Macaca mulatta: one gene and its partner. The protein of the gene in region 2 purifies or fractionates together with the protein of the main gene of each other region. This does not show direct contact. Links are inferred from orthologs where the notes say so. Each region holds a gene or a part of one and is shown on either strand. Other genes may lie near its edges. The genes, in order: DDX6 and LSM14A.

What was found.
Region 1: the proteins of LSM14A (region 2) and DDX6 purify together in Homo sapiens (affinity purification with mass spectrometry; 4 studies listed by BioGRID and IntAct, with this or other methods). This does not show direct contact. The link is inferred for Macaca mulatta from reciprocal best matches to the Homo sapiens genes LSM14A and DDX6.

What each region holds. Positions count from the first base shown.
Region 1 is NC_133419.1:119,445,788-119,449,604, forward strand, and holds part of DDX6 (putative ATP-dependent RNA helicase DDX6), read right to left. Parts: intron 3,635-3,817; coding exon 3,505-3,634; intron 191-3,504; coding exon 44-190; intron 1-43.
Region 2 is NC_133424.1:45,540,698-45,544,514, reverse strand, and holds part of LSM14A (protein LSM14 homolog A), read right to left. Parts: intron 1,589-3,817; coding exon 1,412-1,588; intron 1,117-1,411; coding exon 1,051-1,116; intron 1-1,050. UniProt on the Homo sapiens protein: Essential for formation of P-bodies, cytoplasmic structures that provide storage sites for translationally inactive mRNAs and protect them from degradation. Acts as a repressor of mRNA translation. May play a role in mitotic spindle assembly.

The DNA of each region.
Region 1 (3,817 bases), on a different chromosome or scaffold from region 2:
AAATTACAGAGAGCTACACTACCTTTTAGTAATCATTTCTTACCTGTATCATCAAGCCTCATTATGTCATCTCGTAAATTGGTTCCTCCTGTGGTTGCCATCACTTTGGCCCCTCCCATGTGTTTGCTGACCTGGATGCAAATTTGACTGACCTGTAGAGCAAGTTCTCTAGTGGGAACAATCACCATTGCTGAAACAACATCAAGGAACATATGAGAAAATATGGGGTGAGGTGGGAAAACATACTATACATTATATTTACAAAATTCAAGAAGCTACAGAAATACTGCCCCTTATGATGCAGTGGCTCAAGCCTGTAATCCCAGCACTCTGGGAGGCCAAGGTGGACAGATCACGAGGAGTTTGAGAGCAGCCTGACCAACACGGTGAAACCCCACCTCTACTAAAAATACAAAAATTATCCAGGCTTGGTGGCACGCAGCTGTAATACCACCTACTCAGGAGGCTGAAGCAGGAGAATCACTTGAACCCTGGAGGCGGAGGTTGCAGTGAGCAAAGATCGCGCCACTGCACTCCAGCCTGGGCGACAGAATGAGACTCAGCTTCAAAAAAAAAAAAAGGCGGCCAGATGCGGTGGCTCACACCTATAATGCCAGCACTTTGGGAGTGCTGGGATCCACCCAAGGTGGGTGGATCACCTGAGGTCTGGAGTTTGAGAACAGCCTGACCCTATCTCCACTAAAACTACAAAATCAGCCAGGCGTGATGGCACATGCCTGTAATCCCAGCTACTAGGGAGATGAGGCAGGAGAATCGTGAACCCAGGAGGCAGAGGTTGCAGTGAGCCGAGATCGCACCATTGCACTCCAGTCTGGGCAACAAGAGCAAAACTCAAAAAAAAAAAAAAAAAAAAAGAAAAAAAGAAAAGAAAAGAAAAGGAAACACTGCCCTTATAATCTAGACACCGAGATGTATTAAAAAATTGGGCTGGGTAGCACAGTGAGTAACTCACACCTGGAATCCCAGCAGTTTTGGAGGCTGAGACGGGAGGATCATTTGAGCTCAGGAGTTTGAGACCAGCCTGGGCAACGTAACAAGACCCCATCTCTACTAAAAAAATCAAAAAAACTAAAAGTTGAATCATCACAAGACTCACAGGACATTATGAAAACTCAAATGGACAAATCTCTTTACAAAAAGAGAACTTATTATAGTGTCCCAGATTTAGACTTTCCCTCAGCAATACTATCACATAAATATTACACTCTTCTTTTTCTTTTGAGATGGAGTCTTGTTCTATTGTCCAGGCTGGAGTGCAGTGGCGCCATCTCAGCTCACTGCAACCTCCGCCTCCCAGGTTCAAGCGATTCTCCTGCCTAAGCCTCCTGAGTAACTGGGATTGATTACAGGCGTCCGCCACCACACCCAGCTAATTTTTTGTATTTTTAGTGGAGACAGGGTTTTACCATGTTGGCCCTGCTGGTCTCAAACTCCTCACCTCAAGCGATTCTCCTGCCTCGGCCTCCCCAAGTGCTGGGATTACAGGTGTGAGTCATTGCACCCGGCCTTCTGCTGCTGCTGCTTCTTTTTTTGTTTTGAGACAGAGTCTCGCTCTGTTGCCCAGGCTGGAATGCAGTAGCATGATCTTGGCTCACTGCAACCTCCACCTCCGAGGTTCAAGCAATTCTCCTGCCTCAGCCTCCTGAGTAGCTGGGACTACAGGCACTTGCCACCACACCCAGCTAATTTTTGTGTTTTTAGTAGAGATAGGGTTTCACCACGTTAGCCAGGCTGGTCTTAAACTCCTGACCTCAGGTGACCTGCCCACCTCAGCCTCCAGAAGTGCTGGGATTACAGGCATGAGGCACCACACCCAGCCAATACCCTTTCTTAATTACAAACTTTTAGCATGTTGAGTTGGCAACTATTAGCTCAAAGTTTATTAACTTAATATTTCTAAGAGCCCCAACTACATTTGAGTCAGATTCACCAGTGTAAAATACCTAAGTAGGAAACTCCTGCTCTCTAGGTTCTATTTATATCATATGAAAAGTGGGGGCCGGGCACGGTGGCTCAAGCCTGTAATCCCAGCACTTTGGGAGGCTGAGACGGGCGGATCACGAGGTCAGGAGATCGAGACCATCCTGGCTAACACGGTGAAACCCCGTCTCTATTAAGAAATACAAAAAAAACTAGCCGGGCGAGGTGGCGGGCGCCTGTAGTCCCAGCTACTCGGGAGACTGAGGCCGGAGAATGGCGTGAACCCGGGAGGCGGAGCTTGCAGTGAGCTGAGATCCGGCCACTGCACTCCAGCCTGGGTGACAGAACGAGACTCCGTCTCAAAAAAAAAAAAAAAAAAAAAAAAAGAAAAGTGGGAAGAAACGGTAATTACAGATTAAGAAAGCTAAAAATGTAAAGTTTCAGAGGTGAAATCTTAATTCCATTAACTTACACTGAATATAACTATGAAAATTGTTTATTCCCACTGCCGAGGCTCTTAAAATCTCAGAACCCATAGACTTTAAACAGAAGTTCATGTTTCTTTTTTTTTTTTTTTTTTTTTTGAAACGGAGTCTCGCTCTGTCGCCCAGACTGGAGTGCAGTGGCCGGATCTCAGCTCACTGCAAGCTCCGCCTCCCGGGTTCACGCCATTCTCCTGCCTCAGCCTCCCGAGTAGCTGGGACTACAGGCGCCCACCACCTCGCCCGGCTAGTTTTTTGTATTTTTTTAGTAGAGACGGGGTTTCACCGTGTTAGCCAGGATGGTCTCGATCTTCTGACCTCGTGATCCGCCCGTCTCGGCCTCCCAAAGTGCTGGGATTACAGGCTTGAGCCACCGCGCCCGGCCAGAAGTTCATGTTTCTACAAGGAATTCTGCTAACACTCATCTGCCACAAGAAATAGTTCCATAGTTTATAAGTAGCAATGTCAACTAATTTAACCTCTCAGGATTCTCAGCTGTCTTTTCTTTTTTGAGTTAAGAGTCTCACTCTGTCACCCAGGCTGGAGTACAGTGGCACAATCTTGGCTCACTGCAACCTCCACCTCCTGGGTTCAAGTGACTCTCGTGACTCAGACTTCCGAGTAGCTGGAATTACAGGTGTGTGCCACCACATCCAGCTAATTTTTGTATTTTTAGTAGAGACAGCGTTTTGCAATGTTGGCTAAGCTGGTCTTAAGTATCTGGCCTCAGGTGACCCACCCACTTTGACCTCCCAAAGTGCTGGGATTACAGGCTGTGAGGCCCTGTGCCCAGCCTCAGCTTTCCTACCTATAGGGCACTAATACTTATTTTTCCTGTCTCACTGGAATGCTGTCAAAACTGTGTATCATATAAAAACACTCTTAAAACTAGAAATCTCTAAAAAGCTGGGAATCATTTTTAAAAGACCATCATCAGGCTAAAAAAAAATCTGAAAAGAAAGAATACAGATTTTAGATAATGTAAATTCTGACAAAAAAAAAAGGCGTAGTATCTTCTACACATAGCTCCAAGGCTGAAACTCCCATTTTTAGTTTAAAAACAAACTTTTGTTCAACTAACCTTGTATATTGTCCTTCTTCAGGTCTAGCCGTTCAAGTAAGGGAATGAGGTAGGCACCGCTCTTGCCTGTTCCATTTTTTGCTCTAGCTAAGATATCCCTACCAGATAAAGCAATGGGAATGCTCTCCTCCTAAAAGAGATAAGACAATACAAAATTACTTGTGAATTTAGTACACAAGCAAATTCCTCTCTGAAATACACTGAAGGATACCTCTTTTCGGTATTGTTTTAAGTATCCTACATTTGAATTCTACATGAATAGCAGAGATCCAAGTAAATCAGCAGGACCAGTCAACATCAACATCATTATAAA
Region 2 (3,817 bases):
TCAAAGTGCTGAGATTACAGGTGTGAGCCACCGTGCCTGCCTCTGGACTTAATTTTAATGAGGAAACGTTTCAAACTTGTAACATAAAGATAATTCCATTCCCAAAGGCATAGAAAACAATGAAAACCGATTTTATAATCCTAACATGAAACTGACACAAAAGAACCACAAAAGTAGAAGTCATAGGAAAATGTAAATATAAACGAACAAATCCTACTAGCAGGAAATACTCAAGAACATATTAAAAGATAACTGCCTGGCTGGGTGTGGTGGCTCCCGTCTGTAATCCCAGCACTTTGGGAGGCTGAGGTGGGTACATCACCTGAGGTCAGGAGTTTGAGACCAGCCTGGCCAACATGGCAAAGCCCTGTCTCTACTAAAAATACAGAAATTAGCTGGGTGTGGTGGCACGATCCCAGCTACTCGGGAGGCTGAGGCAGGAGAATTACTTGAACCTGGGAGGCAGAGGCTGCAGTGAGCCGAGATCACACCACTGCACTACAGCCTGGGCGACAAGAGTGAAACTCCGTCTCAGACAAAAAAAAAAAAAAAAAGGCCTATCACTAAGTAGAATTTTTTTTCCAGAAAGGTAAAATTTTAAAAAATCTTTATTTTCAAGTAATTATAGAAAAGAAAAATTGAAAAACTAGTTCAGAGTGGCCCTTTGTGCCCATCACCCAACTTCCCAAACTCCAACAGTCACACCTTATATAATTATGGTACATTATCAAAACCAAGAAACTGACACAGGCACAATCTAATTAACTAAACTATAGACCTTGCTCAGATGTCACCAGTTTGTACATGTACTCATTTTCTGATATGTCTTTATGCATAGTTCTATGATGTTCTACCATATATAGATTTGCATAACCACCATCACAATCAAGATAAAGAACTGTTCTGTCACCACAGTGACACTCCCCTGTGCTCCTCCTTTAGAGTCACAACCCCCACCTTTCTTTTTTTTATAGTAATTATGTATCATACATTTAAAATATTCTCCCTGTTGAGAAGCATAGGATATGACTTTCGGATCCAAGAACTTACCTACTTGTCTCTTGTTATCATTTCTGAGTTGCTCATTTTCTGGCCTTGAAACTTTGTGTACTTCAGCTATAGAAGAAGACGTGCAAAGTGTCAAATCAACTCAGGGCACATCATCAAAAACTTCCGTAGTCAGAATTACATACAAACAAACCAAAAATCCCAAAACAAAGCCTGTGCAATGCCCAAAAAACAATACCCACACCACCAACACTTTGAGTCAAATTTGAAAGACCGAACATTCTATCACGTTCAGTTTAATTTTCTGGGATCATTCATATGATGTAAATCCTTCTAATGAAAATAAAGTGAGCGGAAAACATTGATCAGTCAATTAAGGAACAGTAAACAGCTAAAGTTCTACCTCGCCTGTGCTCCTGATTCTCTATTGCTTTTTGGCTGGTAGATGGCAAAGGCCTGGTTGATACAGGACTCCTTCTCCCAACAGGTGCTGGAGCAGGTAAGTGGGCCGAGGCGGTCTGCACTGCTTGTTCCATGGTTGGGCTTTTTCTCAAAGGGTCTAACTGAGGGCTTGAACGACCTAAAACGTAACCAAAAGATAAGAAACTACCCTATTGGGGATTTCAAAAATAATCTAGACCCTAAATAAAATTGTCCAGTTTTATTTCTACCAATTCAAATCCTTAGCATAAATTTGAATTAATCCACTTATCAGACCAGATATTAAGAATGGTTATCCTTAGTGGGCTTGTCATTAGGTTAAAAATAAAAAATAATAATAATTAAAAAAAAAACCTTCAACAGCTTCAAAACCCCCTCCCCCTCACAATTTTATCTGTTATTTCTACTTAGTGGAAGTTTACCTTTAAAAAAAATTGCGGCCTGGTACGAGATTCCCTAGAATTATCAAAGGCTATATTGTAGTCAGGTCAAACACAGGCTTTCCCCAATAACAACCATAAGACTATGGTAACTTGTTTTAATTTTTCTTAGTACTTTCTGTAGATGACTAAAACAATACCTTTACATCTATCTACAGGTACTATCTCCATTAAATTTCTATTATAAGAAAGTAAAGGGCCAGAAGCAGTGGCACATGCCTGTAATCCTAGTACTTTGGGAAGCTAAAGCAGGAGGATCGCTTGAGCCCTGGATTTCAAGACCAGTCTAGGTAACATGGTGAAACCCTGTCTCTACTGAAAATACAAAAATCAGCCAGGCATGGTGGCGTGTGCCTGTGTTCCCAGCTACTCAGGAGGCTGAGATGGGATAGCTTGAACCCGGGAGGCAGAGGCTGCAGTGAGCCAAGATCGTGCCATTGCACTCCAGCGTAGGTGACAGAGTGAGGCCCTGTCTCAAAAATAAATAAATAAATAAATAAAAAGTAAAGAACTAGAAAGTTAGACAGGTGAAGTTCTTTAATGCTTTAGGGGCTTGGGTAACTAAACAAAAACTAAAACGCCAGCAAAACAAAAACAAAAACAAAAAAAAACAAAAAACAAAACTCTTCAGATAATTACACAGTAGCCATACTCATTCCTTGCCTTTTAAAAGATCACTTGGCAAGTTTTTGCTTAATATGGGGTTTGGCTGGGCGCGGTTGCTCACACCTATAATCCCAGCAATTTGGGAGGCTGAGGTGGGCAGATCACTTGAGCTCAGGAGTTCGAGATCAGCCTGGACAACACGGCGAAAGCCTGTGTCTACAACAAATACAAAAATTAGCCAGGCGTGTTGGCACATGCCTGTAACCCCAGCTACTCAGGAGGCTGAAGTGGGTGGATCACTTGAGCCAGGGAGGCACTGGTTGTAGTGAGCCGAGATTGGTCCACTGCATCCAGTCTGGGTGACAAAGCTAGACCCTGTCTCAAAAAATACAAAAATAAAAGAGCCAAAACAAAAAACGGGACTTGTACTTACAAATTATATTTTTCCTTTTATGAGGCCAGAGCCTGGTCACAGCATGAACTGAAGAATGTAACATCGGGTGCTCCCATCATGCTTTCTGTCCTGATAATGTTTGCTGTAAATCTCTGCTCAGGCACTCACATCTCATACTTATTCCAAAATATAATATTTTGCTTAAAAAAATAATGCCCATTTCATGCAAAAAACCCCCCAAATATGCTGCAAATGTTACTGTCCATCTGTGCATATTTGCAGGCGTCAAACAACTAGTGAATGCTGACAATGCATTATTATGTACCCAGATGATTCAGGGATATTTTATTAGTAATATTTCCCCAATTTATGATTATCTAAAGTATGCAATTCCAAATGTGCAATAGTATTTTAGCTATTAATGGCAAAGTTAGCCAAATAAATGATCATTTATCAAAACGAAGAAACCAACACAGGCACAATCTAACACTTCAAAATTAAGTTACCACTAATAGAAGCATTGTAATTTTTCCATTGGATTATAATGGGAAATCATGGTTTATATAAGTTTTGGTCTAAGGAAACACATTTTATAATCACTTATAAAACACATTTTGTTTTGTTTTCGTTTTTTAGAGACAGGGTAGTGTCTTGCTCTGTCGCTCCAGCTAGAGTGTAGTGGCGCAATCACAGCTCGCTGCAACTTCTAACTCCTGGGCCCCAGTGATCTTCCTGCCTCAGCCTCTTAGGACTATAGGCATGCGCTACCAAACCTTGCTAATTTTTTTATTTCACGGGTCTTCTTGAAAAAGCCTACTGCTACAGTTAATTTTATGGTACTACATTAAATCATCTTATAAGTTTATAAAACTACTTTATCAAGGCTTTTGAGAAGAGATCCTACAGCTCACAAGCACTACAGAAGTAT